7 linked regions of the Macaca mulatta genome follow. The protein of the gene in region 5 interacts with the protein of the main gene of each other region in a pairwise test. Links are inferred from orthologs where the notes say so. Each region holds a gene or a part of one and is shown on either strand. Other genes may lie near its edges. The genes, in order: CCNK, QKI, ZBTB32, AMMECR1, RBPMS, SF1 and RUSC1.

Region 1 (3,921 bases), on a different chromosome or scaffold from region 5:
CCTTCACTGAGGAGACGGATGGTTCACCTGGGGATCCCGGGGCGGCCAGAGAGGTGCTGCTGCCTCCAGGGCACTGAGTAGCTGCTGTGGAGGCCTCAGAGCTCTGCTCCCTCCCACATTACAGACAGCCAGGAGTAGGCCTGGGACTTGAGTGGGACCTGGGAACCAGATACACTGCCAGGAGGCCATGGCTGGAAAGAGCAGGGCCTGGGAGGCACAGTAAAGCTGGGCCACGAGGAACGGAGGGAAGCACGCTTCCTGGGAGGCCCTAGACCATGGGAAGAGGTGTTCAGGTCAGCAGTGATGTTTAGGGAGGGGTTTGGTGGCAGTGTATGGCACTTGGTCAGGAGCAAGTGTACAGAGGGAATGGGGTGCCGAGGATAGACCCCCACTTGCTGTTCGAGCTCAGTCACACAGCACAAGGGCGGGTGCACTGGTGACTTGAAGATTCAGGCTGCAGGGTCGAGTGTTGGAAGAGTTGGCTTCTGCAAGGTAGAGGAGCAGGCCTGTGGCCCAGGTGGCTGTGGAATGACACACAGGAGGCATTGAAGGGTGTCAGCGCTTTTCTGCACCTCTTTTTTAGTCAGCTTCTGGAACCACAGGGCATCTGGCCCTGACCTGGAGCCAAAGCCAGTTCTCTAAGGCCAGGCATATATGGCCTTCCTGCCCAGTGGCTGGCGAGGGCTGATCTGCACAGGCAGTCCCCAATGGCACACCTGTTACCAGCCCAATCAATCCTGCTCATGCTCGCTTTGGCAAGATCAAACGGGTTGTGTGCCAATGGCCACGTCTACACAACCAGGATGTCATGCTCTGCCTTCCCTAACCCAAGTGCCTGGGGAACCAGAAGCATCTTCATGGCCTTTGTCCTCTTTATGTTCTCTGGAACCAGAAATGTTGTGCCTATGGTTTGTCTCCTGTGCTGCCTTGGGAAAGGACACTCATTCTGTGTGTTTGGCTACTTGTGGTGGGGTGTTCCGACGCCATTTTCCAGGGGTCTGATGGTGACCAAGAGATCACAGGCCAAAATGTGTTAAATAAGGCTTTGGCGGAAGGGGGCATGAGGGCTCATGGGCTGGGAGGCGCTGCGGGAGGGGCCTGAGGCTGGTTCTGAGCACAAGTATCTTGGGTGTGCTTGACACCTAGTGCTGCCTATCCCTGCTGCATACACACAGCAGCACGCACACACACAGCAGCACGCACGCACACAGCAGCACGCACACACACAGCAGCACGCACACACACAGCAGCACGCACACACACAGCAGCACGCACACACACAGCAGCACGCACACACACGAAGCATGCACACACACGCAGCACGTAGCACGCAGCACGCACGCGCAGCACGCTTGCACACACTCCTCTCAAGGAGGCTGCTATCTGAGAGTACGCAGTGGGGTTTGATCTAACCCCTCTTGAGTAGAATAGAACCTGAATTGCTGCTTCGATGGGTACATTGGGAATGTCAGAGACTTGTACGGAATTATTTTAAATGCCATCACATTCATTTGACCAACTCTGAGGCTTTCTGCAAAATGCCACTGCTGCAGACAGGAGTTCAGTGTGGCCCTGACTCTTGGGGTCAGTTTCTGAAGGCAGAAAAACAGAGGAGCCCCCACACATTTTACACTAGGAAGAGGGGGCTGGGGCCAGGGCACAAGGGGGCTTCGTGTGCTGCCGAGACTGCCTGCGGGTGGTGTGGTTAGGGCTGAGGGAGGGAAACCCCAGCTCATCACAGACAGGGTGGAGGGCCTTTTTGACAAATGGTGGGGAGACATCTGGTGGCATCAGGACATGGGGAACGGGCCCATGTGTTGGGCCACAGAGGAAGGGGCAGCTGCTCCCTGCTCCTCTGTAAAGATGGCCCTGAAGGGCCAGGAGGCACTGAAAAAGCAGCTATTGCTTGCAGAGGCCGGGCACCAACACATCTCTCTCCTGCAGACCGGAAGCCTCCCCTCGCTGCTGCCTTAGGTGAGGCTGAGCCGCCGGGCCCTGTGGATGCCACTGACCTCCCCAAAGTCCAGATTCCTCCTCCGGCTCACCCGGCCCCTGTGCACCAGCCACCGCCGCTGCCACACCGGCCCCCGCCCCCGCCGCCCTCCAGCTACATGACTGGGATGTCCACCACCAGCTCCTACATGTCTGGAGAGGGCTACCAGAGCCTGCAGTCCATGATGAAGACCGAGGGACCCTCCTACGGCGCCCTGCCCCCCGCATACGGCCCACCTGCACACCTGCCCTACCACCCCCATGTCTACCCACCCAATCCGCCCCCACCACCTGTGCCTCCTCCCCCAGCCTCCTTCCCCCCACCTGCCATCCCGCCCCCTACTCCTGGCTACCCTCCACCCCCACCCACCTACAACCCCAACTTCCCACCCCCACCTCCACGCCTGCCCCCTACCCATGCAGTCCCCCCTCATCCTCCTCCAGGCTTGGGCCTGCCTCCAGCCAGCTACCCACCTCCTGCCGTGCCCCCTGGAGGACAGCCCCCTGTGCCCCCGCCCATTCCCCCACCTGGCATGCCTCCAGTTGGGGGACTGGGGCGGGCAGCCTGGATGAGATAACGTGAGCCTTTTTTTCCCCCTTTGTTTTTTTTAACAAGTTTTTCTAATCGACTTGCAGAGTAGTTGAAGTGGGTAAGCAGCAGGGTACCTTATATAATGCGCGACAGTTGCAGTATGGGAAGAATGGACCAGGCCCCTGGGATAAAATCAGGGTGGTCCTCACATCTAGAGGACGGGGACAGCCAGCTTTCAGAGTAGCCTCATCAGCGCCCTTGCAGTCTGACTGTGTACACTTGGTTCAGCTAATGTCTGAGAGTCCTGCACTGGGTTACTTTATACTAGTGAAGATGTTAACCAGCCATATTGGCTCAATAAATAGCTTCGGTAAGGAGTTAATTTCCTTCTAGAAATCAGTGCCTACTTTTCCTGGAAACTCATTTTAAATAGTCAAATTCCATCTGAAGTCAAGCTGTTGTCATTTTCATTCAATGACGTTCTCTCCCATGACACCCAGAAGGGTCAGAAGAACCACATTTTTGATTTATAGATGTTTGCATCCTTTGTATTAAAATCATTTTGAAGGGGTTGCCTCGTTGGATGGCTTTTTTTCCTCCAAGGAGAAGGGGAGAAATGTACTTGGAAAGTAATGTATGTTTACATCTATTTGCAAATTCCTGTACATAGAGATACATTTTTTAAGTGTGAATGTAACAACATACTGTGAATTCCATCTTGGTTACAAATGAGACTCCTTCAGTCAGTTATCCAAATAAAAGCAGTTCTGAAACTATCCCTTTCTCTGTTAATGGGTGGAAGGTAGGGCTCCAGGCCTTCGCAGTCCCCGGGTGATAACATTGTACAAGCCCCTCCTTCCGGACCCTGGGCACCGGGAGAGGCCTGGCTGCAGTTCACAGGAGCCAGAGCCAACCCCACTGCCTCCCAGGGCACTCTGGGTGGATCGGCACATTGGCCTGCCAAGCCAGCCTGCACCCATCCTGTGCCTGCCTTGGTTTCCTTTGGAGGACCTGGTTGAGTTCCAAACCAGCTTGAAACTTTCAAGCCTTGCTGCATAGAACACAGACGGGAACACAGGCTTGGGTTTGAAACCCTTTCCACTTCTGGCCTGCGATGAGACGGAGGCAGCTGGAGGAGCAGCGGCCTCGCCATCCACCTTGAGGGGCCAGGGCTGTGTCTGTGGAAGGGGCCCCGACTGAGCCCCCATCTGAGGTGCTTGAAGGGCCTTGGCCCTGTCTCTGCTTGCTGACCCTGCCACCCATGACGGAAACAAGCACTGAGCACCCAGCCAGGAGGCTCACAAAGAGGCCTTTATTTATCTAGCTCAAAGTAGACACTATCACAATCTTGTTTATTACTCCTTTTACTAAAATAGTTCAAATCAATGTGTTTACCA
Region 2 (4,711 bases), on a different chromosome or scaffold from region 5:
AATTCGTGTGAAGCAACATTTCACAAAAAAAATCACCTACGTTCACTATTAAGTCAGAAGACAGAATGATTAACAGTAAATTTCAGCCGCGAATTACTCAGTATCAATTGGATATTAAATAACTGCATTATTTTAATGGAATGTTATAAAGGATTTGCAACAAAATGCAGATGCAGATGTAGATTTAGGGACTGTCGACTTCTATAGATCAAGGAGGACTTCATTGTTGCAGCTCAGAACATTCTTCCAAACAAATCTAAATGTTGGAAATCCACCACACTGCAGAGAAAGACCTCTTGCCTCCGTATTCTTTCTTCATCTGTAAAAATGTTGACTTCTGCTTTTCAGACTACGCGCACAGGCTCTTTCCTACTGCGGCTTCATTCCCTCACGGAACACTGATGCCATCGCGAAAGAAGCATTTCGAGCACGACTAACGCTCCCCTTATAATTTGCTAAGCCGCTGCGCTCGGGTCTCGCTACGATTTGCTTTCAGAATAACGAGAAGGTGCAACAAGATCGCTTCCCTGGCGGCGCGTCAACCGCTTGGCCCAGACCCCCCACGCCCGCCCACCGCCCCGTGGGTGCGCACGCGTGTCCGCGCACGCTTCCCCGCCTGGCGAGCGCGAGGCTTCTCTCCGCCGTGCTGCTTTCCAGCCTCTCAGCAAATCACGAACACGGAAGGGAGCCACGGCGGCGACGGGAGGGGCGTCGCGCGTGGTTCCCTCGGCGACAAAGCGGGAGCCCGGCGCGACGGGCGCCCTACCCCGCAGAGGCGGACGCCGCCGCACGCGCCTCAGAAAGCCTCAAACTCCAGTCCTCGGCTCCCCCGCCACACCCCCGCCCCGCAGCCAAGACCCGCGAGGTGGCGGGCCCGACGGCCAGGGCAAGCCCACCAGCCCTCCGCACCGTGGGCGACTGGCCAGCACCCGGCCCTAAACGGGCAGCCCCAGCCCCTAGGCGGCTGCCGCCCCCAGCCCCGCCCACGCCCCACGCAGGCGCGCTCCGGGCCCCTTCCCTCCCCCACCGCGCGCTCGCGGGGCCCGGCGGGGGCGGAGCGACCCTCGGAAGGGGCGTGGCCACGGGGCACGACGCGCGCACGCGCTCTGGAGCCCCATGGCTACGTGTCGGGCCACGTGATGCCCACCCCGAAAGTCCCCCGTGAAGCAACAGGACGTTAAAAAAAATTTCTTTTCTGCGGGGTGGATGAGAGGTTCTGAAAAAACTATAGTAACGGGAGGCGAGGCGGAGGCAGCGCTGGCGCGTCCCGCTGGAATTCCTCCCGCCTGCCGCGCCAGCCCCAACCGCGCCCGAGCCCCGCGCCCCCCCGCGGCCGTCAGCCCCGCAACCCACACCCACCCGCCCCGGGCGCCCCGCACGGCGGCGACCCAGTCCCTGCGCCCAGGCCCGGGGCCGCCGAGCGCCGCCGCCCGTCACGCTCCCGTCGCCCCCGCCGCCCGCCCCGCCAGGGAGGCAGGGAGGAGGGGGCACGGCGCCGGCTGCTGCCCGGGTCGGGGGGCGTCGGGCAGCGGGAGCGCGCCGGCCGGGCCCCGCTAACGGCCGCCCTGCGCGGCCCCGCCCGCCGCCCGCCCCCGGCCCTCCCCGCGCCTTCGCCCCTCCCCCCCCGCCGCTGCTGCCGCCGCCGCTGGCAGCGCCGCCTGAACTGAGGCGAACTCCGCCGCCAAGTGAGTGAGGAGGAGGAGGAGAAGGAGGAGGAGGAAGAGGAGGAGCGCAGTCAGAGCGCGGCGGCAGCGGCAGCGGCAGAGGCGCCGCGGCGGGGACCAGCCCAGAGAGACCCCCCGAGCCCGCGGCACAGGCGGCGGCGGCGCTGAGCGGGCGCGACCAGCCGAGCGAGCGGCGGCCCCGGCTCCTCCTCGTCCGGCGCCAGCGGCCCGCGCCCTGCGCCCGCACTCGGCCAGCCGAGACCCGCCTCCCGCCCGCCCGCCGGCCTCGTGAGGGACGCGCCGAGCCGGGCGGCCGAGAGCGGCGGCGGCTGGGAGCGCGTCGGGCCCGGGCGGAAAGTGCCTGCGGGGGGCGGGCGAGCGCGCGGTGCCGGCCGCCCCGGGGCTCGGCGCGGGAGCCAGAGCGGGAGCCGGCGCGGAGCGGGACGCCGGGTCCCGAGCGGCCCGCGGCCGGGGCTCGCCCCCGCCCCTCCCTCCTCTCCGGCGGCGGCGGCGGCGGCGGGCGGAGTGAGCTGCGGAGCCTGGAATATGGTCGGGGAAATGGAAACGAAGGAGAAGCCGAAGCCCACCCCAGATTACCTGATGCAGCTGATGAACGACAAGAAGCTCATGAGCAGCCTGCCCAACTTCTGCGGGATCTTCAACCACCTCGAGCGGCTGCTGGACGAAGGTGAGCGTCTCCGGGGCCCCGGCCCCGGCCCGATCCCCGCCGGGGCGGCCCCTTTCCCTGCTTGGGATGGTGGGGAGGGCGGGAAGGTCACGGCCGGGCGGGACCGCGCGCCGGGGGGACTGGGAGGCCAGGAGGGCGCACAAAGGAGGCGCCGGGCCGGGCTTGCGGCGGCGGCGGGCGGGCGGGCGGGCCGGCGGGCGGGCCGGGGTGGACCCGCCGGGGCCGGACGCCCCCTGCCCGGCCCGGGACCCCGCGCCGCTGGCGCCCAAGTTTGTGCGCTGCGGAGGGCTGCGGGGCGAACCCTGCGGCCCCTCTGGCTTTGGCGGTCACATTTCCGAGAGGCCAGCGGGGGCTGCGCGGGCTCGGTGGTCCTCGCCAAGCCCTCCCGAGAGCAGGCCCACGCCGCGCCGCCGGCCTGGAGGACGCGCGTGTCCCCGGCGCGGGCCCCGCTCCTCTCCTCGACCTCCTGAGCTTGCTCTGCGCGGACCCCCGCTGCCCCGCGTTCGGGAGCTCTCTCCCTCCCATGAGGACTAAAGCGGGGTTTCGTGCTTGGGGAGTTGGAGCAGCTGGTAAATACTAAGTGGAAGTCAGAGTGGGGCTCGTTAGTTTAAAGAAATTCCATAGGAGACCGAAATTATGCTGGCGTAGCCGACAAGGAGGACGAAGTGACGGCGAAAAGCACTTTTTTCCCTTTTGTTTGGGGAAGCGAGAACTGTTAGGGAGTTGAACTTCACTTTTCGGGGGTGGGGGGGGGGTGGAGTGCGAAATAACGCGATGACAGATCGGAGCGCAGCCTGAGTTAGGAAGAACTTGGGCGGAGGGTTTGCTCCCGGAGACGCAGCCGCCCGAGTTTGTAGGACAGGGAATCGAGACGTTTGGAAAGGGCGAAATAAAATTGAGCCGAAGTTTTCAAAAAGCTTTATGGAGCGCTGTGGGGAGCGAAGAATGACAAGAAGATTAATGTTGACCAACTCTGGAATTTCCTTAAGAAGTTCTCATAGCAGTATCTGGAGTATTAATTTCTAGTAGCTGTGGGTTTCTGTGGACGCCTAGAGACAAAAATAAATGACCACAAAAAAGTGTTTCGAAAATCGACTAGCCAGGAGTTTTTTTTTTTTTTTTTTTTTTTCCTGCTCAGAGGCATCACCGGAGGACTGTGTAAAGGAAACTGAAAACTTTAGGTTGAAGAGATGAGCAATGGAGTTTAGATTTTTCGCAAGAATTTCGAGATTTTAAAAATAGAGTCGGGGAACAGGAGTTTGAAGCTTGGGGAGTTGGAATGTCATTAGAGAACAAAAGGCCGGAAATGTTTCCATGATAAAAAGATGATTAAAGAAAAATCCCTGGAGTTTTATTGTCTTGAAAGTCAAAGAAACAACTTAAAAGTAGAAAATGGTTAGGTGTTACGGCTTTCTCGTCGTTTTGCTTCCATATGTTAAACATACAGCACTCACCAGCATTGAAATGGGCATTTTCCACTGTTGGAACAGCAAATCTGTTAATTTCAAGTTGCTCCAGAGAAAACTTGAGCTGTCCCTTTAAAGGGTTCTGCTTTTCCTGTTTGTGTTGGCATTTGAAAGATTGTGGAGGCAGAAAACTTTCTGGAATGTCAAAAAAAAAAAAAAAAATTGCTGGAACTCTTAAATTGAGTATTTCCAAATGTGAGCGCTAAGGGGCGCCAGTTATTTTTTAACCATGGAAATGGTTGGAACCAAATGTGTAACATACTCAGTAATCTGACCTATATTAAATTTAGTTGAAACTTAAATTATAGATTATTTGATTTGTCATGTGTTTATATAGTGTTTTCGAACATTGAAAACACTTTCCTTAAAATTATTAGCACAACTTCATGACGTTTCAAAAGTAACACTCTTAATATTTTCTCCTTGGCATATTTCGGTTAAGTTAAAGTTTTAGTAATATTAGTAACAATTTCTGGTGAAAGTTTTTTTTCTTGAGTGCAGTTGTTTAGAAGGAATCCTTTATCGACGATAAAATGAAAATAGGCCTTGACAATATTTAGGGTTAATTAAAATTAAATTGTATTCTTGAAATGTTGAATTCAAAGACTGTAGGAGATTCCAAAAATGTGAAAATACTTTCACCTTATGTATACTATTTAAAAAACTGCATACTTTTGAGTTTCTTTAGTTTTAAAAGGCTTCTTGTGCTTTTGTGTTGATCTAAAATCTCTAAATTTAGAGCTGATTCCTTGTTATCAAGTTTCCAACCTTAGGCTTTAATAATTTTTAATCTTTCAAATCCAGAAATGTTAATTATGTCATTATCTCTAACAAAGGCTTATTTCTCTCTGGTTGGAAATAGTTCTCATTTGCGTTTTAAATGTAGGAGATCA
Region 3 (4,373 bases), on a different chromosome or scaffold from region 5:
ATCACAAGGTCAGGAGATCGAGACCACGGTGAAACCCCGTCTCTACTAAAAATACAAAAAATTAGCCGGGCGCGGTGGCGGGCGCCTGTAGTCCCAGCTACTCAGGAGGCTGAGGCAGGAGAATGGCGTAAACCCAGGAGGCGGAGCTTGCAGTGAGCCGAGATTGCGCCACTGCACTCCAGCCTGGGCGACAGAGCGAGAGTCCGTCTCAAAAAACAAAAACAAAAAACAAAAAAAAACAAAAACAAAAACAAAACAAAACAAAAAGGCCGGGCGCGGTGGCTCACGCCTGTAATCCCAGCACTTTGGGAGGCCGAGGCGGGCGGATCACAAGGTCAGGAAATCGAGACCATGGTGAAACCCCGTCTCTACTAAAAATAGAAAAAATTAGCCGGGCGCAGTGGCTGGCGCCTGTAGTCCCAGCTACTCGGGAGGCTGAGGCAGGAGAATGGCGTGAACCCGGGAGGCGGAGCTTGCAGTGAGCCGAGATTGCGCCACTGCACTCCAGCCTGGGCGACAGAGCAAGACTCCGTCTCAAAAAAAAAAAAAAAAAAAAAAAAAAAACGACTTCACCTCTTTAGTTATTTAGGTTATTTAGGTTTCAACGAGTTGATGCACAAGCGTAGCACATGGAAAGGGCTGGATAAACGCGAGGTGCTGTTACTCCCACCACAGCGCCAGTCCTTCTCCCCTTTTTACTTTACTTTTTATTTTTATTTTTTGAGATAGAGTCTTGCTCTTTCGCCCAGGCTGGAGCGTAGTGGCGCCATCTTGGCTCACTGTAACTTCCGCCTCTCGGGTTCAAGCAATTCACCTGTCTCAGCCTCCTGAGTAGCTGGGATTACAGGCGTCCCCCACCACGTCTGGCTAATTTTTGTATTTTTAGTAGAGACGGGGTTTCACTATATTTGTCAGGCTGGTCTCGAACTCCGGAGCTCAGGTGATCTGCCCGCCTCGGCCTCCCAAAGTGCTGGGATTACAGGCGTGAGCCACCGTGCCCGGCCCCTTCCCCCATTTTAGCGGTTTCGCTCCCTATTGGGGCCAGGGACGCCTCAGGCTGTCTCTGTCAAGACCTACAGCTCTGGCTGTTGTCCCAGGCTCTTCCGCGAGGTGCTCTCCTGCCTCCTGACCACCCCCATTCCCCCCCGCTCGAACTCCTCAGCGAGCGGCTGCGAAGGACGCGCCAACACTCCGCGTAGCGGGAAGGGACCGAAATCTCATCACAGCCTGAAATTGCTGCGCTAAACTCCCGCCCCGCTGCCCTCTGGTCAGTTTAAAGCGAAGACGAGCCTTAGGGCCAGTCAGAGGCGGCAGCGGAGGAGCCATGCCCGCCTCCTTGAGGCGCCCTGGCGTCTCATTGGCTGTGCTTGAGAATGAATCCCGGGCTAAGCCGCTTAGAAAGGAGCGGAGCCAGCCAATCAGCGGTGCAACCGCCGCGGGGGCCGGGCCAGAAGGCCCGCAGACAAGCACCTCGGAAGATTGGCAAGGGGCGAGCTCGCAGCTTGTCAGCCCCGAAGCCCTGCCCAGGGGGAAAGCCTGCTGGAGGGAGTCTAATCCCCGGGCCAGTTAATGTTGGGGCAGCGCAATCGGCCGTTCCCTCTGCGGTGGGGTGGTGGGCGGGAGTGCTGACACGTCCGCGCGCCGTTACTCCTGGCTGAGCATACAGTCGAGGTGGCAGTGGGAATTGGAAGTGCGAGTGTCACACTGCCAATCACCGGGCAAGGTACTGCCCCCTCTTGTGTCTTCCTTGTCCCTGTACACGTCCAGGCGAGGCAGAGTGAGCTGTGCCAGCAGTCGTAGTGGAGTGGGACAAGAGGACAAGAGGAGAGAAAAGGGAGCTGTCCACAGGCACCGAAGCCTGGCTGACTTTTTTTTTTTTTTGAGGCGGAGTCTCGCTCTGTCTCCTAGGCGGAGTGCAGTGGTGCGATCTCGGCTCCCTGCAATCCCGGGGTTCAAGCGATTCTCCTGTCTCAGGCTCCCAAGTAGCTGGAATTACAGGTGCCCGCCACCACGCTCAGCTAATTTTTGTATTTTTAGTAGAGATGGGGTTTCACCATGTTGGTCATGCTGTTCTCGAACTCCTGACTCCAGATGATCCGCCCGCCTCAGCCTCTCAAAGTGCTGGGATTACAGGCGTGAGCCACCGCGCCCTGCCTGGCTGGCTCTTTTATTTTATCTTTATTTATTAGAGACAGGGTCTCACTATGTCACCCAGGCTGCAGTGCAGTGATGTGATCATAGCTCACTGCAGCCTCGACCTCCTGGGCTCAAGGGATCCTACTACCACCTGGACCTCTCAAAGCGCTGGGATTACGGGCATGAGACACAGTGCCTGGCCTTGGCTTGCTCTTATGGGCCTCCAGGCCAATCAGGTGTGGCGGCAGCCTACACACCCCTACACACTTCCCAGATGGTAAAGGGTTGAGAGAAAGGTGACAGGGTTTGCAAATGGGAGCTACTTAGGGAGGCAAAATAGAAGCAAGAAAGGCAGGTCAGGCACGGTGTCTCACGGCTGTAGTCCCAGAATTTTGGGAGGCCCAGGCGGGAGGATTGCTTGAGCCCAGGAGTTCCAGGCTGCAGTGAACTATGATTGCACCATTGCACTCCAGCACGGGCAACGGAGGGAGACCCTGTTCATAAAATAAAAATGAAATAATTTTTTTTTTTTTTTAAAAAAAAGGACAGTGGTACTCCGGAGCACTTGCTGAGGGAGCCTCCAGGGCTGTTCAGGTAAGGGAGAATCAGGGTCCAGTCTCTTCATGGAGAGAGTGGGAAAGGGCAGACTCCACAGCCAATCAACGCTGGAGCCCGGCTGGAAATCAATGAAATCTCAGCCTAAGAGGCCTGAAGCCTACGGACCAATGAGACTCAAGGCCCTGCCTCTTCACAGCCAATCAGCTGCAGGTCAGAGACAGACGCGCGGGAGTGGCGCTGTCCTAGGTGCCTCCCATGCTGCCCAGCGTGCTCAGCTGGCCTGAGCGGGAGAGTGCGACCCGCGCTGCAGCCAATCAGCGTCCGCCTCAGGATCTGGGGGTGACCACGTGCGGGAGCCTTGCGTCCCTGGCCTCGCTCCACTCCCCACTTTTAACGGTCACTCGGCCTTGAGCCATCCTGAGTGTATGTGAGGCTGAAAGGGAAGGAGGAACAGGGTCTGGGCCGGTGAGTGCCATAGTTTTTCTTTACTTTCTTGGGCTTGGGCCTGGCCCAGGCAAAGCTGGGGTGTGGGAGTTTGGCCCCGTTGATGATTGGGAAGTGCGGGTTGAGGGTTTTAGCCCTTAGGGCTTTCCTCTGTCTTTGAGAGGCTGGAAATGCAGCCTCCTGGCCACCTTTAGGCCTAGGTTTGGCAGAGGCCAAGCCAGCTTGCCCTCTGGGTTGGTCCACGGCCCCTGAGGCCAGCCTGAGTGCGAAGGGTGTTGTGGGGAAGTTGCAGGCCCTTAGCTCTGCACAGGGTCATTGACCATGAGGTATGGCCTCTGGACAATGAGAGGTTACGAGGGGTCTCTGGACTGAGCCTGAATCTGGTGACTGAAAGGAGAGGCCTGAGGATCTCCAAAGGTTATGTAGGGGCCGGGCACGGTGGCTCATGCCTGTAATCCCAGCACTTTGGGAGGCTGAGGCAGGTGGATCATTTGAGGTCAGGAGTTTGAGACCAGCCTGGCCAACATGGAGAAACTCTGTCTCTACGAGGTTTCCAAAAAAAATTACCTGGGCATGGGGGCACATGTCTGTAATTCCAGTTACTCAGAAAGCTGAGGCAGGAGCACAGCTTGAACCCGGGAGGTGAAGGTTGCAGTGAGCCGAGATTGTGCCATTGCACTCCAGCCTGGGCGACAGAACGAGACCCTGTCTTAAGAAAAAAAAAAAAGAAAAGGAAAAAAAAAGTTACGTAGAAAGTCACTGGCCAAGAGATGAAACTAGTGTTCACTTGAAGGTCTTCTGGGGTCTTTGGAGCCAGCCTGGGCTGGGAGTGAATGTTCTGGACTCCAGGTTGAGATGTTCTTGGGAGATTTCCCAGTATGGGGTCCAGGTTGGATGATGTGGCCAAGAGGTTAGGCCAGTAATCCTCTGGAGATTCTAGGGAGAAGGGTTCTGAATCTCAGCCAAGCTGTTTGCCCTGGATGAAGTATTATTACCCTGTGGTGGCTCTGTACAGAACTAGGATTGGGTGGCCGGGCGTGGTGGCTCACACCTGTAATCCCAGCACTTTGGGAGGCTGAGGTGGGCGGATCACCAGGTCAGGAGCTCGAGACCAGCCTGACCAAGATGGTGAAACCCTGTCTCTACTGAAAATACAAAAATTAGCCGGGCGTGTGGCAGGCACCTGTAATCCCAGCTACTCAGGAGTCTGAGGCAGGAGAATCACTTGAACCCGG
Region 4 (4,473 bases), on a different chromosome or scaffold from region 5:
CAACAGAAGTATAGTGTTGTGCACATAGTATGGTGCAGAGGCTCAATATTACTGAATGAATAAATTGTTTTGTTTTTATTCCCTGAGTGGAATGAACAGCCCCCAGCTATCTGCAAGATCCCACGCATGTAGATAAAAGGTGACAAAAACCAATCTGCAGTTTTAAAATATGCAGATACCTGACTTTATCTAGATGTTCTAGCATGGTGTAGATACAATGCAAATAACTTACGCTTTCTATCAGGTTCATTTCTACAAATTTTAACATTTATTGTCATTATTTTTATTATTAAGCTACACTTAGGCACCTAGAAAGGGACTGACTCATATGCCTCCTCATCCATCCAAGCATTTAATTGAGAAATTTTTAAAGTGAATATTAAGAGCTAATTATATACTTAAACAAAATCTTTCAATTTGTGACTAAGTACATTACCTTCCCTATTTATCTCTAAGATCTGAGCACTACAGATAATATTCCTAATTGCTTTTTACCCAAGCCAAGAAATAAAAACCAAAACCAGAAAAGTCCACCACTGCAAGTCCCAAAGCACAATTAATATCTTTGAACCAGTGAAGTATTAGTTAGGACTTTATTTTTGGCTTTTTAATGTTTACAAACGGCTAGGAGGGTAAGTCGGGGGAACAAGTACAAGATACATCGATTCAATCGGACTTGAATATTTCTCCATAAGGAAAGGAAAGAGTACCCTGGTGTGTGCTTAGGCTGGAATTAAAAAGAGCAGCGTGGCCATTTCCCCGACTGCTTTGTACATACTTAACAGGGGCGGTCTCAGGTATGGAGCTTCAGGCACCTGCTCGCTCACACTCCAACAGTTCAGAAACCCGTGTATTTGAGGCCGGGTGGCTCAGGTTCCACGTAACTGGGCTTAAGTGTCATTAATACTACTTGCAGCGGGGGTCACTGAGCTGTGCTTTGGGACCTGGATGCTCACTTCGGACTTTCTCCTTTCTTCCCCCCTGCCCCCACTAGTTTCCCTTTCCCTCCTTCCTTCCCGGGCGTGCCCACCTCTTCCCTTAGCTCCCACTTTCCACTATCTGACTCTTGTTTCCTTCACCTTCCTTTCTAATCGGCTTCCTGGCTTCCATCCTCTGCCGGCCGCAGAGATTGAGATTCGGGCTGGGGCTGGGGCTGCGGCTCAGAAGAGGCACGAGTCCGGCGGGACAGGCGCGAGGCGCCCAGCCGCGAAAGCGAGGAGCGCGCACCGAGGCGGGGGCGCGCGCGGGGCAGCCGCGTGGCTAGGCAGACGGGGCCGGGAACGGCGCGCGCGCGCCCCGCCAGCCTCTGGCGCGCCCCCGGCGGCCTGGGCCGCAGCGTGCTCGCCCCCGCCGCCAGCTCGCCTCACTTATGGGTCGGAAACGCTGCGTGGGGGAGACTGTTCCAAGATGGCGGCGGGTTGCTGCGGGGTGAAGAAGCAGAAACTGTCCAGTTCGCCCCCCTCTGGCTCGGGTGGCGGTGGTGGCGCCTCCTCCTCCTCCCACTGCAGCGGAGAGAGCCAGTGCCGAGCTGGGGAGCTGGGACTAGGAGGCGCCGGTACGCGGCTCAACGGGCTGGGAGGTCTAACCGGAGGAGGTAGCGGCAGCGGCTGTACCCTCTCTCCCCCCCAGGGCTGCGGCGGCGGCGGCGGGGGGATCGCCCTGTCGCCACCTCCGAGCTGCGGAGTGGGGACCCTACTTTCTACCCCGGCCGCCGCCACCTCTTCCTCACCCTCCTCATCGTCCGCCGCCTCGTCCTCATCGCCGGGCTCCCGGAAGATGGTGGTGTCAGCAGAGATGTGCTGCTTTTGCTTCGATGTGCTCTACTGTCACCTGTACGGATACCAGCAGCCCCGGACCCCCCGATTCACCAACGAGCCCTAGTGAGTACCGTGCCCTCCGCCGCCCTCTCCCTTGCGCTCGGGATGGGGCTCAGAGTTGAGGCAAAGTGCGAGTCCGCCTCCCGGCCGGCGGATGCCCCTGCCCTCTCGCTGCCCGGGTCCCCGGAGCCACTCAACTGAACTAAGGGCACCCTGCGCTTTTTGCCCTCCGAGGCAGGCACCCCACACTTGGAGCAGGGTGCTGCTGCAAGGGATGGCCCCGTGGCTCCTAGAGGTGTTAGCTTTCTCTTTGCGATGACTTCGAGGAGTTTTGACCCCTTTACTTGTCTTCTTCACCACCCCTACCACCCCTCACCCTGCCCCGGTTTTGGAGATCTGGGTTACTCAAGGTGTTGACCTCTCCTCACTTTGGTTTCCGTTACCCCAAGTGAAAGCCCCGCCAGTATTCCCGCCCCGCGTACCTTGCACATGGAGAACTACTATCCCATTGCAGGGCGAAAAATAGCAAGTATCCAACTTCTGTTAGTGATGGAACTTAGCTCTGGAGCTTGTGAGGTTACCCATCTTTTCCTCTGGGTTTCCTTGTGCCCTGGGAAAGGGGGAGGTTTCTTAAAACACATTTTCCCTTACTACTTATTTTTATCCAAATACACCCATTAAAATGTGTTTCTCGTGAAGCGAGCGCACTGCCGGCTTCCTCACATTTGAAGAGTGAGACCTTTTTTTTTTTTTTTTTTTTTTCATTCCACTGTCTGGATAATAGCTCATTCAAAGAGAACTGTCCCCACAGAGCCACTGTCAGTTTGTACATTAAGCGTGCATTCGCTTTTGTGTCGATTTCACTTTTTAAGAAATCCATGTTATACTCGATGATTTGAGAACAGTTAAATAGTAAATGTGTAGGAATTGTTATGGTTTCCTTTGGTTTTGTACCTTAAATTATCTTACCCTTCAAGTGTGTGGTTGAAAATTTTTAAATAGCACTGTTACAGCTAAAAGCCAGGTTAATTCTAATCCCTGTCCATTTGCATGTGTGGGAGATGGGGCATATGGTTTTTTTTTTTAATGTGTAAACTGAATGTAAACTGACTTTTTGAGTTAAATGCTAGACAGAATGTAAAGACCAAGAGAGGGCAGAATGAGAAAAAGTGCAATTGCTTTTATTTGAGTACTTAGCATCAACAAGAAAAATAATACAGGAAAAATTTCAGTGAAACTCGTACTGAAAGGCATCACCCCCTTTTCCAGCTAAAAGTGCCGCTTGTCCCCCATATCATAAATACCTTAATTGATGTTCTTTTAAAACTGCTTCATTTTGTGAGATTAGAGGATTGGACTACTATTGTATAAGTATAAACACTTCTGCCTAGACTAAAATATTAATATGTAAAGTGGAAATTACAATAAAGTGTCCTGGAAATTGTGCATTTGTACTGTTTGTTTTATTTGGCTTTTATTCTTTAAATGTCTTAATTTTGTATGACTCTTCTGTGGTCTGTGCATTTTCTTTTAGACTTGGTTAATCTTTGGGCATTGGTTCATGAGAAGTGCATGAAAGAGCATCCAGGAGAACACTTTGTCAAACAAATATCTTTATAAATTTCATAGTGTTAATTCTAGAAGCTTAAATCCTAAGTCCACACCTTTATTTAGCCAATTAATTTTTTTGGTTAAGAAGTAAAATTGATTTTGAAAAGACTGCCATGTAAAAAAATCTATGAAATATTTATTAGCTTGAGTCACTTATTTGTGACTTTTCTGCCTTCTCTTGGATGTCTTTGATATATTAAAGCTAGTCCTGGGATGATACTTAGGTTGGCTCTGCAAAGTCATGGGACTGCAAAAATTCACTCCTGTTTAGTTCTTGAGCTGTTACATGAGTTTGGCAAAGGCTGCTTTAGTATTCACGCTCCATTGCTCCAAAGCATATGAGAACACACTTTCAGGAGGTGCTATTTTCACACATTTTAAAGTGAGTTTGGGTTAACTCAATGACTATAGCAAGAATTTTAAAAGGAAAGTGAGCTTGACCAGTTCATACAGAAAATGCTTTTGAAAATTTCATTTTAACAGTAGCCACTTTGCACACATATTTAGATATTATTCTCTTCAAACACCCCAGCCCCTGGATTTCTTTTTCATGGAATTAAGCAGATGATAGGACACACTTTTGACCGCTGTGGATATGTTGAAACGGTGGTGGAAGAAGAAGAACTATTATCATTTAGCAGACCTTGAATGTGTCAAGTATTCTATAAAATAACTAATGTAGAGTAGACACTGAAGATGACCAAGTGGAGAATGAAAGTTCACTTAAGTGGAAAATGGACTGTCTTATTTCCATATATCTTCAACTCATTTTTGAGGTGTACTGTGGAAAATTCAGGAAAGCTTCCTCATTATGGGAGGGAAATAACTAAGCATTTCAACAGTGCCTTAGTAAGTACCACACATTTGTCTTTCTGTTTTACATATTTAACAGCATTGTGTACTTATTAGTGTTGCTTTATCCTAAGTGCCATAAGACATAAACAGACATACTGGGATTTTTTTTTTTCTCCTAGTTATTATCATGTCATGAGCAGTGTGTTTGCCCACCAGATGTTGTGCTTTTGACAATTTTAACTTCTCATAC
Region 5 (3,921 bases):
AAGGACCTCTCTTTCCTTCCCCTTCACCCCTTATTTCCTGTTAATGCCATTACTATCCAGCCACAGGCTCTTCCTTGTATCCTTGAAGCTGAGCCTGTGAAGTTTGAAGTTCTGAGTTGTTCATCCTGGTCTCTAAAGTAAGAGAGTCTTATTTTTGTGGATATTTCTTTTTCTTTCTTTTTTTTTGAGACAGAGTCTAGCTCTGTCACCCAGGCTAGCGTGCAATGGCGCGATCTTGGTTTACTGCAACCTCTGCCTCACGGGCTCAAGCCATTCTGTCTCAGCATTCCAAGTAACTGGGATTACAGGCACATGCCGCCACGCCCAGCTAATTTTTTTTTTATATTTTAGTAGAGACAGGGTTTCACCATGTTGCCCAGGCTGGTGTTGAACTCCCGAACTAAGGCAATCCACTCGCCTTGGCCTCCCAAAGTGCTAGGATGACGGGAATGAGCTAGGGCATGAGCCACAGCACCCTGCCTGCTCTTATTTTTTTTCAAGCTCATTAGGAAGAACGGTGGCGAGGGGACGGGGGATGCTTTGGAGCCCTCAGGCCCATGTGTATACATTCAGAACACTAAATGGCAACTGTGGTCTTTGGAGACTCATTTTCAGGACTCCAGTCCCTTTCCAGACCCCACCATGAAAACATGGGAACTGAGTGGGTCCCATGGGTGCATATTTAAAATGCACTCTCTTGGGATAGCTTTTTGACATGTAGGGTCCAGAATTCATGGTATTGGATGCTTAATAATGAAGGCATTCTTGAATGGTGGAAGGATTCCAAATAGACTTGTCTTGCCCTAACTTGTCTTTCATAGTGTCTGTGATTTATTTTACTGAATATAATCTGTTTTAGGTAAACTGCAGGAATAGGGTCAAAGGTAACTGAAATTACTATACATTAAAGTGTATAACTGTGCTAGGAATTTCCTGGTTCAAATTTTAAACTGGAAAGTTTTTGTCTAAAAAGAAAAGGAATAGTTGAAAATCTGTGTAACTACATTTTTTAAGTAAATTAAATACCACTGACTTTCAGGACACTTTGTGTTGTCATTTTTCCTGTAACCTGTGTAAGTAGTAAGAATGACAGTGGTTGCTGACCTTTTTTCCTGATAGACCAGGGTTTACTGGTGTGTTTATTTTGTCACCATTCCGGTTTGACTCTAAGGAAATGAAAACATCTTCCATTTGTTCTCTGTTTCCAAAGGGCATCCGCTTCGATCCTGAAATTCCGCAAACACTACGACTAGAGTTTGCTAAGGCAAACACGAAGATGGCCAAGAACAAACTCGTAGGGACTCCAAACCCCAGTACTCCTCTGCCCAACACTGTACCTCAGTTCATTGCCAGAGAGCCATGTAAGTCGATCTACTTTTCATTTAAAAATAATAATAACTAAGAACCGTTCGTGTGCTGCATGTGAGGTTACACCACGGGACATGGAGCTGGCTGAGTCTTATTTTCCATTTCTGTGAAGAGGTTGCCTAGGCGTTCTTGGTGTCAGAATTCCAAATACAGCAATCTTGTTTGCAATAGGCTGTCCCAAAAGATGGTTCAGCTTGAACAGAATCATAACTTCAGAATTTCATTTGATGTACTACAGATTTCCTTAATGTGACATTGACCATTGTGAGTATGCCCCTAGTTGCCTTGGGTATAAACCCTTTATTTCTCCATGCTCAGACATGAGAGCTGGTTCTCAGCATTCACTTTAATCCATTTGTTGAAGGACATCAGCTCGGTGGCTTTGGAAAAATAGGATATTAAAAGTGAAAGAAGCAGATCTTAGGAAGTTGGTTCTATTCAGTTTAGCCATAACTCTAGGGGGAAAAGTAAACACACACAAAGAATTTATATATTGGAACAGTCAGTCTAGCAAACTAATACCAGCAAAACTTTAAGGAAATTTGGGGCTTCCTGTTTCAACTTAATTGGATAAGGACACTGGCTGATTGCTCAAGACATCTTCTACCCCACATTAATAAGCTTATTTCATTATTTCTGCCTTTCATTGAATAACTTTAAAAGATTGAATTTTCTTTCTCAAGCTCAGTCAGTGGCAGAAATGGGGCATGAGACAGGCCTTAACTTTTCCTTTCATTACAGAGCCATACGTGATTTAATATGGCAGGGCATTCAAGGAAACCCAAATGACTTGGATTCCAAGTTATTTGGAATATTTCTGTCCTGTCATTTTTGGTCTGCTTTCGAAACCACACGATTGTGATCTTCTTCCTTTGATAATACATTTTTAACTCTTCTTATTGAAATTGAAGGACACATGGATTCCTTGCTCCCCCCATGTCACATGCATGTCAGATTTAATCAGGTTATCTTTGGAAGTCACAGCCATTCTGTAGCTCAGTCACTCTTGCTTGCTACTCATCAGTAGAAACTAATAGATAAGTCTTCCAGAATGTTCTAAAATAAATGTTTCTATGAATCCAGAAAGTCATAATAGATGAAAAAATTATTTTGTTCTTTCACCTTCTTTGTCCCAGGGAAACTAGAAAACTTTGCTTACTTATTTGGGAAGGAAATCTAAACAAAAGTTACATCTTACAGTGTACTTGTAATACAGCAGAATATAGGAACATCCTTTACATAATTCTTCATCCTTAGAGTATCTAGCTTAATACTTTGTATATTGTATGTATTTAATATTTATTATAGTGAGTGGATAAATTGATACTGAAATTGGGCTACTTGTAGAACTACAGATGGATTTCTATGCCTCTTCTCTCTGAAATTTCTTCTCTCTTGATCAAGGCATCAAAAAAGAGTATTTTTAGGATGCCTGAATTTGTAAAAATAACCTAAAGTAATTCTTTGCCTTTTTAGTGAATTTGCCAACCTCAGATCTCAGAGTTCTTTGAAAAGATTAATTCAGACAGGAAACGTAATGCTGGTGATACTTAACTTTACATCCTCAATTCTTTGCTGAATGCTCTTTTTAACAGGCCCACAAAACTTTTTGTGAATTTCCTACAACAGCCCTGTGACATAGGTAGCCAGGAAGGTTGTAGCCAGGTCACAACATGCTATACAAAAGCAACAAATAGGAACAAACTGAACATTCACAAGTCCCTGAAGTTACAGGACAGCATAGTAACCGAGCTTAGAACTCTTTTCTGGCAAGCTCTACTCATCTCCCTTCCCAGCATACAGAACAGTACAAAAATGGCCAGATAGTTTCCATGACAGGGTAAAAACTTGCTCAGCTGTTGACAGCAACACAAATTTGAAGTTTAAATAAATAAATAAATAAATAAATAAATAAATCCAAGCAGCCAGCAGTGTATTCTTGAGGAAAATAAAAGTCAGCATGATTTATCTTAATATAGCTCATTTTTACGACACAACGTCTTGATAAGAGCAAGTCCACTGTGGCTCAGGTCAACTTTATTATCCATCGCCATTCCCTCTGGGAACTGGGAACTTGCCCGTCAGATAAACTTGCTTACCTGGAAGCACACCGCAAGACTAAGAACACTGTGTTGGGTTTACACGGACAAGCCCAGTTGCATTGTACTCAGAATTGGGTACTCAAGGTGGTCGGTTTAACTAATCAGGTGTAGACTATAATGGAATTGCAGAATTTGGGGATTGGAAAGGCCCTGAAGGCTAATCTTTGTTGTAGGCCATAGAGGTTTTTTGTAAATGTTTCTTTTTGTTAATTTTTTATATGGTAGTGGCTGAAAAGCACTCGTTGCCATCGCTAAAAGAAGAATGTTCTGTGGTTTGATTATACAACAAACATGTACTTGAACTCTGAATTCTCCATATATCTGAACTTAATGAACTTAAACGAGCACCCAGTGTGCTGGACTCTGGAGAAGAAGGAAATTGGTTGCTGCCTTTAAAGAGCTGTCATTCTGAGGAGTTGATGATAGTCAAAGTTGTCAGAAAAACTTGGTC
Region 6 (2,737 bases), on a different chromosome or scaffold from region 5:
TGCATGCTTGCTCTGGCGAGGGCTGTGATTGGGGTGAGAGACTGCAGAGGTGGGACCGGGCAGTGGGGAGAGAGCAGCTGTGACCTTGAGGTTGAATGTGCCGTTCGGTGGTGGCGGCGGCTGGGCGGAGGGACATCAGAGCTGTTCTTGTGTCTGGTACCTTCCCCTCAGCCCTTCCAGGGGCATTGGTGACAAAGGGCTTACTCTGTTAAGCCCAGAGACCTCGAGGCTGACCCCAGGGTAGTCGTGCCCACCCCTCCACTCCCCATCACCAGCCCCGCCCGCCCGCCCCCCACCACCGTACCGCATGCCAAGCAAGGAGCAGGCGCCCCTCGCCCCCATCCCAAGGCAGCAGCCGCAGACAGCCGCGGTGTGCCCCCGCGCGTGTGACCTTGGGCTTCTTTACCACCCCAGATACGACGACTACCACCACGAGCGCTGGCACAGGGTCCATCCCGCCATGGCAACAGCAGCAGGCGGCTGCCGCAGCTTCTCCAGGAGCCCCTCAGATGCAAGGCAACCCCACTATGGTGCCCCTGCCCCCCGGGGTCCAGCCGCCTCTGCCGCCTGGGGCCCCTCCCCCTCCGCCGCCTCCACCACCTGGTTCCGCCGGCATGATGTATGCCCCGCCCCCTCCTCCTCCGCCTCCCATGGACCCTTCTAACTTTGTCACCATGATGGGCATGGGGGTGGCGGGCATGCCGCCCTTCGGGATGCCTCCAGCTCCCCCACCGCCTCCACCACAGAACTAGACTTGTTTTTTAAGAAAATATATATTATATATAGAGAGAATTGGTCTCGTTTAAACACGCCGAACCTCACCATATGGAGCCAGACATTGGGACGCACGCATGTGATTGTGTGTGCACGCATGTGTGTGTGTGCACGCACTGGGCTGGGCCAAGCGACTGAGGATTCGCTTGGGAACGGGCAGGTGGTAGTAGGGGCGCCAGCTTGAGCTCTCCTGGCGCCCCGTAGCATCGAGTGTCTTCTTTGTCTTCTTTCTCTCCTCACCCAACTCCCTTTGCCTCTCCCCAAACCGGGCCGCCAGGATCCCTCCCCGCGGCGGCGATGGCCCGAGCCATGAGAGTGAGGACTTTCCGCGCCCATTGGTGACCCTTCCAGGCAGACAGCCTCAGCAACGCCCCTGGTGGACAGGATGGTTCGGCAAAGCAGCCTGAGTTATTTTTGTGGACGGAATCGGAACACGCTGGCTCCATATCGTGAAATTTTTATTAATTTTTTTTTCTTTTTCCTTTGTTATTTCCTTATCTCTTCCTTTCTTCAGACTCCGTCCAAGGAGATGCTCTCCCCGGTCTTCTGCTGCAATTAGATTCCTTTCCCTTCTCTCCAGTTCTCCTTCCCTTACCAAGGAGAGGGGAGCAAATGGTTTTGGGCATGGGCTGCAGCCATTCATGTCAAGCTGGTTGTGGCGTTCTTTGGTTCTAAGTTTTTCAAGGCGCCATAGCCACCCCCGAAGATATTTAAAGTGTGAGGTTTTTTAGTCTCTGCCACCCTTGTCAAGGGAGTCTTGTACGGTTGCCGAGGGTAGGTTCATTTCCAGGTTCCAGGATTCCCATCCGCCCTGGCGCTCCTGCCAGCAGTGGGTGGGCAGCCTGAGCTCCCTTGGGCTCGCCTGCCAGCCTGGAGTTCTTCCCGTGCTCCTTGACCACCTGAGCTGCCTCAGATTCCATTTGGTCCTCTCCTTCCTGGAAGGCTTTCTTTTGTGTTTTATTTTAATCCCAAATGTCTGAATGTTTTGCAGTGTCTAGGGGTTTGAGCCCCTCGTTTATTCTCCTTCCTTTTTCCTCCCGCTTCCCTTTCCATGGAGTGATTATGTTGATGATAATGTATACTGCGCGTTCTCTTCACTGGTTTATCTGCAGAAATTTCTCTGGGCTTTTTTTGGTGTTAGATTCAACACTGCGCTAAAGCGGGGATGTTCCATTGAATAAAAGAGCAGTGTGGTTTTCTGGGTCTGCTTCTTTATTTTTAATGCCCCCCCCACCCCCTGCTTTTTCTTTTCACATAAACTTCCTCTACCAGCAGCAGCAGCACCAACGTTGCCTTAACTTTTGTTCAGCACCTGGTCCGGGGGTGAGACTGTGGGTGGTTAATTAGGGAAGCCCACCACCTGCCTCCTGTGTGTGGCTTTGGTGGTGGGAGCTGAGTGTGTGGGTGGCTCCACAGTCTCCCCTTTGGTGACTAGTTAACATCGCTGAGAACCAATTTTGCCCCTCCTTGGTCACCGCTCATCTTTCTAGCCTCTGTCCTTTGAAGGCCTTTTCCTGGGGCTCAGACCTCCATGTTTGATGAGCTCCAGTGGTGATTTGTGCCTGGAAGCTGCCACCTGACTAAGGCCCTGGGCCTAGGGAGGCATCAACACTAAAGGTCAAGCCAACTAATCCTGCCTGTCAGGCACAGAGCAGCTAAAATTAAAACCGCCAAGTGGCTTTTTTCCTTCTCTGCTGGTGACTTGCAGCCTGCCAGCACTGTAGGCTTGGGGTGGGGGGGCAGGGACAGGATAAAGTGCTCCACCTTGTGCTTTGCCAGCACTTTTCGAAGGGTCTTCTGCTTTTTTTTATGTCTTGGACAGTGAGTGGGTAGTTCCTGTTACGGTTCCAGAGAAATCCATGTGTAGTCTCCACCAGGTAGTGAGGTCCTCTCCTGGGGAGAGGTGCCTTAGAGCTGCCCTGGTTCCACCTGCCTCTCCTTCCTTCAGGACGGCTGAGGGACA
Region 7 (4,162 bases), on a different chromosome or scaffold from region 5:
CCAAGGCTGAGAAACCCTGGAGTAGAGGACACCTGGTCTGAGGCAATATGTAGGGAATATTTGGGATAGGGAAGGGAAGCTTGGGATCCTAGCTACCTAGAAACACTTGAAAATTGGAGGGAGGAGGCCGGGCGCGGTTGCTCAAGCCTGTAATCCCAGCACTTTGGGAGGCCGAGACGGGTGGATCACGAGGTCAGGAGATCGAGACCAACCTGGCTAACACAGTGAAACCCCGTCTCTACTAAAAAACACAAAAAAATAAACTAGCCGGGTGAGGTGGTGGGCGCCTGTAGTCCCAGCTACTCGGGAGGCTGAGGCAGGAGAATGGCGTAAACCCGGGAGGCGAGCTTGCAGTGAGCTGAGATCCGGCCACTGCACTCCAGCCTGGGCGACAGAGCCAGACTCCATCTCAAAAAAAAAAAAAAAGAAAATTGGAGGGAGGAAAGGAGTGGGTGGCTTTGGAGATGTTCTGAAATATGAGAATGAGAGGAGTGGAGGGGTCCTGGAGGCTCTGGGGAAGGCCAAGCCCGTTTTCCTGTCTTCCAACCCCTTTTAGGAAAATTACGGGCAGAAGGAGGCTGAGAAAGTGGCCCGGGTGAAGGCACTATATGAGGAGCTGGATCTGCAGGCTGTGTTCTTGCAATATGAGGAGGACAGTTACAGCCACATTATGGCTCTCATTGAACAGTACGCAGCGCCCCTGCCCCCAGCCATCTTTCTGGGGCTTGCGCGCAAAATCTACAAGCGGAAAAAGTGACCTAGAGATTGCAAGGATGGGGAGAGGAGGCTCTCAATAAATAATTGTGTAACCTTTTTGTGGTTCTGTTCTTGCTCGGCGCAGCCAGAGTCTGGCTCTTTCCAGAATGTGCGGGGTGGGGTGCTGGGAGGACTCGCTGCACAGAAGCGGGACCCAGGGGCCTTGGCATCAGGGCCAAAAGCTTGGGATACATCAAACCCGCTAGGTGGGTGACACAAGACGCTAAGCGCTGGGGGCGGGTCTGAGCTACGCCACGCCCATGCGCGAAGGGGTGCAGATGCGCTGCGCAGAGTGGGTTGTGCTAGTGCCCCTCCCCTCCCGCTCTGTGCCCCGCCGGGCGGGGACCGTGGGAGCCGAGGACAAGCCCAAGGCCGGAGCGGTTCCAGGAGGACCCTGGTGAGGAGGGCTCGGCCCATGGGTGTAGGCCGATGGACCAGGGCACGAGGGGCGGGGCAGGACAAGGGAGCAGGAGAAATGAATAGAGAAGGGGTGCGGTGGTGACTGAACGATGGAGACGAATGCGGAGAGAATGGACATACCGCTGTTCTGAGGGGCGAGGGCGCAGGCTGGAGCCCGGCGGAGGCAGCCAGCAGATGTGGAGTTGACGAGCTGACGGCTGCTCCATCCTTTTCCTCTCCAGCTCCCACCCCTTTCCTGCATTCACCAGGCAAACTCTGCATATCGACCCACCCCCATCCCCCGCCTCCTTTCAGGGCATCTGGGTGGGTCTCCCTGGGTCCCTTCCTGTGGGAGTAAGGGGTAGGCAGGAGGGCAGGGCCAGATTGCGGCAGCAGGGACCCGGAGGTCCATTCTGGGCCCGGACCTCTTCCGGGCCCCCGCCCCCCTTCGGAAATCCAGAGCGCAGCCGCGTTCTCTGACCCTCCCGGCTCCATTCCCGGAGGGTTACATTCGACTCCACCTGCAAACACTGCAGTGGAAACTAATGGCCAGTCGATTGCGATTTGCATCTCATTGAAATATCTTCCAAAGCAGCCAGAGCCTTCAGGCCTGCTGCTGCCGTCAGTCACCTCAGTGTCCTTCCCGCAGCTCCTGTCCTCACTGGCTGGGCTTCGCCACCCCTGTCTTCTAGGTCTGCACCTGTGGTTGCCAGGTAGGTGGATGTGAGAGACCCTACCCTCCTGGTTCTCTAGAAGCCATCCCATCGCCGCTGGCACCATGCTGTCTCCTCAGAGAGCTTTACTCTGCAACCTCAATCACATCCATCTCCAGCACGTCTCCCTGGGCCTGCACTTGTCCCGCCGTCCTGAGCTACGGGAAGGGCCCTTGAGCACATCCCCTCCCCCAGGAGACACTGGGGGCAAGGAGAGCAGGGGCCCCTGCAGTGGCACCCTGGTGGACGCCAATTCCAACAGCCCAGCTGTGCCCTGCCGGTGCTGCCAGGAGCACGGTCCGGGCCTAGAAAACCGGCAGGACCCATCACAGGAGGAAGAGGGGGCTGCCTCTCCCTCAGACCCAGGCTGCTCTTCCTCGCTCAGCTCCTGCTCAGATCTTAGCCCCGATGAGTCCCCCGTCTCAGTCTACTTGCGGGACCTCCCTGGTGATGAGGATGCCCACCCTCAGCCCAGTATCATCCCCCTGGAGCAAGGTTCCCCACTGGCTTCAGCAGGCCCTGGCACCTGCTCACCGGACAGCTTCTGCTGCTCTCCTGATTCCTGCTCCGGAGCTTCTTCTTCACCCGATCCTGGCCTGGACTCGAACTGCAACGCCCTGACCACCTGCCAGGACCTCCCTTCCCCAGGCTTGGAGGAAGAGGATGAGAGCGCGGAGCAGGATCTCCCTACCTCTGAGCTCTTAGAGGCGGATGATGGGAAAATCGACGCTGGGAAAACGGAGCCCAGTTGGAAGATTAACCCAATTTGGAAAATTGACACAGAGAAAACTAAAGCTGAATGGAAAAACACGGAAAACAGTAACACTGGTTGGAAAAACAACGGGAATGTTAACTCTAGCTGGAAAAATGAACCTGAAAAATTCGACTCTGGTTGGAAAACCAACACAAGAATAACTGATTCTGGCTCGAAAACAGATGCAGGGAAAATTGATGGAGGATGGAGAAGTGACGTCAGCGAGGAGCCGGTGCCCCACCGGACAATCACGTCCTTCCACGAGCTGGCCCAGAAGCGCAAGCGGGGCCCAGGGCTGCCCCTCGTCCCGCAGGCCAAGAAAGATCGCAGTGACTGGCTCATAGTCTTCTCGCCCGACACCGAGCTGCCCCCCTCGGGGTCGCTGGGCGGCTCCTCGGCACCTCCTCGGGAAGTCACCACCTTCAAGGAACTCCGGTCCCGAAGCCGGGCCCCACCCCCGCCAGTCCCGCCTCGAGACCCCCCAGCTGGCTGGGCTTTGGTCCCGCCCCGGCCCCCACCCCCGCCTGTCCCTCCCCGAAGGAAGAAGAACCGACCTGGACTGCAGCCCATAGCGGAGGGGCAGTCCGAGGAGGGCCGGGCTGTCAGCCCAGCGGCTGGCGAGGAGGCCCCAGCCGCGAAGGAGCCGGGAGAGCCGGGCGCGCAGGCCGGCCTGGAGGGTAAGAGGTCGCAAGAAGCGGGAGGAGGGCTGGGCTTCGGCCGCTCACGCCTCCTAGGCTTCCAACCCGGCCCCCTGTCTTCCCTCCATTCTGTGTCACCCATCCTCCCCGCCCCTTCTACCAGGGAGCGCTCCGGGAAAGGGAAACTGGGTGGGTCATTGGGATATGGGACTAACTCTTTGCTCCCTCTTCTTCCCGCCCCTCCTTGCCTGGCTGCCCATCCCGCTGCCCTCCTTCCCTCTGCGCCTGGCCCCGCCAATCCCGCCTGCAGCCGGTCCCCTCCTGCTCCCTCGGCCCCTGGTTTTCCGGTTCTCGGCCGACGGGCGCCCCCTGTTGGAGGGTGGGGGCGCAGGCGCAGCTGGGTCTCTGCTCCTGGCTCCTCTGGCAGGGTGGCCTGGCGCTGGGCTGCGGCTGCTGGGGGCGCCGAGCCCCCCAGAGGAGCAGCTGCTGCCCGTCCGCCTGTCCCCAGTGGGAGCCTATTCGCCTCCGACTCGGGGAGCCTTGCCCTGCCTGGCCAGCCCCGAGCTGGCACTGCTGCTGTCCCCGCTCTTTCCCAGAAGTAGCACCTTCCCCGCCGCGGCTCCCCCACCCCGCCAGGTACCCGCCCCCCCGCTGCCACCGCAACCTCGTCCGCCGAAGGCCCCTCGCTGGACCAGGAGCCCATCGCCTCCGCCCAGGCTACGTAAGACGGACCCGGGCAAGCCCCGCGGGCCACGCCTCAGGCGGGCCGCCCCGCCCGCTCCAAGGCCCCTCCCACTATCGCCCGGCCCCATTTTCGCTTTTTTTCTGGGGTTGCCCAGCTTGGTCCCGCCCTTCCGTTTCGGCGGACTCCAAGCAAGTTCGTCGGTTTTGGGGAATCTGGC

The links.
Region 1: the proteins of RBPMS (region 5) and CCNK interact in binary tests that used the Homo sapiens proteins (3 or more experiments, as listed by UniProt). The two-hybrid records come from large-scale screens. The link is inferred for Macaca mulatta from reciprocal best matches to the Homo sapiens genes RBPMS and CCNK.
Region 2: the proteins of RBPMS (region 5) and QKI interact in binary tests that used the Homo sapiens proteins (3 or more experiments, as listed by UniProt). The link is inferred for Macaca mulatta from reciprocal best matches to the Homo sapiens genes RBPMS and QKI.
Region 3: the proteins of RBPMS (region 5) and ZBTB32 interact in a two-hybrid assay, tested with the Homo sapiens proteins (3 studies listed by BioGRID). The two-hybrid records come from large-scale screens. The link is inferred for Macaca mulatta from reciprocal best matches to the Homo sapiens genes RBPMS and ZBTB32.
Region 4: the proteins of RBPMS (region 5) and AMMECR1 interact in binary tests that used the Homo sapiens proteins (3 or more experiments, as listed by UniProt). The two-hybrid records come from large-scale screens. The link is inferred for Macaca mulatta from reciprocal best matches to the Homo sapiens genes RBPMS and AMMECR1.
Region 6: the proteins of RBPMS (region 5) and SF1 interact in a two-hybrid assay, tested with the Homo sapiens proteins (3 studies listed by BioGRID and IntAct). The link is inferred for Macaca mulatta from reciprocal best matches to the Homo sapiens genes RBPMS and SF1.
Region 7: the proteins of RBPMS (region 5) and RUSC1 interact in binary tests that used the Homo sapiens proteins (3 or more experiments, as listed by UniProt). The two-hybrid records come from large-scale screens. The link is inferred for Macaca mulatta from reciprocal best matches to the Homo sapiens genes RBPMS and RUSC1.

Annotation. Positions count from the first base shown.
Region 1 is NC_133412.1:172,832,417-172,836,337, forward strand, and holds the end of CCNK (cyclin-K), read left to right. Parts: intron 1-1,944; coding exon 1,945-2,570; 3' UTR 2,571-3,300; downstream 3,301-3,921. UniProt on the Homo sapiens protein: Regulatory subunit of cyclin-dependent kinases that mediates activation of target kinases.
Region 2 is NC_133409.1:8,729,918-8,734,628, reverse strand, and holds the start of QKI (KH domain-containing RNA-binding protein QKI), read left to right. Parts: upstream 1-1,762; 5' UTR 1,763-2,210; coding exon 2,211-2,352; intron 2,353-4,711. UniProt on the Homo sapiens protein: RNA reader protein, which recognizes and binds specific RNAs, thereby regulating RNA metabolic processes, such as pre-mRNA splicing, circular RNA (circRNA) formation, mRNA export, mRNA stability and/or translation.
Region 3 is NC_133424.1:46,949,309-46,953,681, forward strand, and holds the start of ZBTB32 (zinc finger and BTB domain-containing protein 32), read left to right. Parts: upstream 1-1,449; 5' UTR 1,450-1,723; intron 1,724-2,680; 5' UTR 2,681-2,730; intron 2,731-2,950; exon of another isoform or gene 2,951-3,159; intron 3,160-4,373. UniProt on the Homo sapiens protein: DNA-binding protein that binds to the to a 5'-TGTACAGTGT-3' core sequence. May function as a transcriptional transactivator and transcriptional repressor. Probably exerts its repressor effect by preventing GATA3 from binding to DNA.
Region 4 is NC_133426.1:117,106,253-117,110,725, reverse strand, and holds the start of AMMECR1 (nuclear protein AMMECR1), read left to right. Parts: upstream 1-1,394; 5' UTR 1,395-1,407; coding exon 1,408-1,880; intron 1,881-4,473.
Region 5 is NC_133413.1:32,278,789-32,282,709, forward strand, and holds part of RBPMS (RNA-binding protein with multiple splicing), read left to right. Parts: intron 1-1,210; coding exon 1,211-1,361; intron 1,362-3,921.
Region 6 is NC_133419.1:9,632,374-9,635,110, forward strand, and holds the end of SF1 (splicing factor 1), read left to right. Parts: intron 1-414; coding exon 415-752; 3' UTR 753-978; coding exon of another isoform or gene 979-1,181; 3' UTR 1,182-1,973; downstream 1,974-2,737. UniProt on the Homo sapiens protein: Necessary for the ATP-dependent first step of spliceosome assembly. Binds to the intron branch point sequence (BPS) 5'-UACUAAC-3' of the pre-mRNA. May act as transcription repressor.
Region 7 is NC_133406.1:111,658,850-111,663,011, reverse strand, and holds the start of RUSC1 (AP-4 complex accessory subunit RUSC1), read left to right. Parts: upstream 1-1,804; 5' UTR 1,805-1,933; coding exon 1,934-3,299; exon of another isoform or gene 3,300-3,570; coding exon 3,571-3,981; exon of another isoform or gene 3,982-4,162. Other genes in the region: FDPS (farnesyl pyrophosphate synthase), read left to right, coding at 557-757; putative uncharacterized protein RUSC1-AS1, read right to left, coding at 739-1,725. UniProt on the Homo sapiens protein: Associates with the adapter-like complex 4 (AP-4) and may therefore play a role in vesicular trafficking of proteins at the trans-Golgi network. Signaling adapter which plays a role in neuronal differentiation.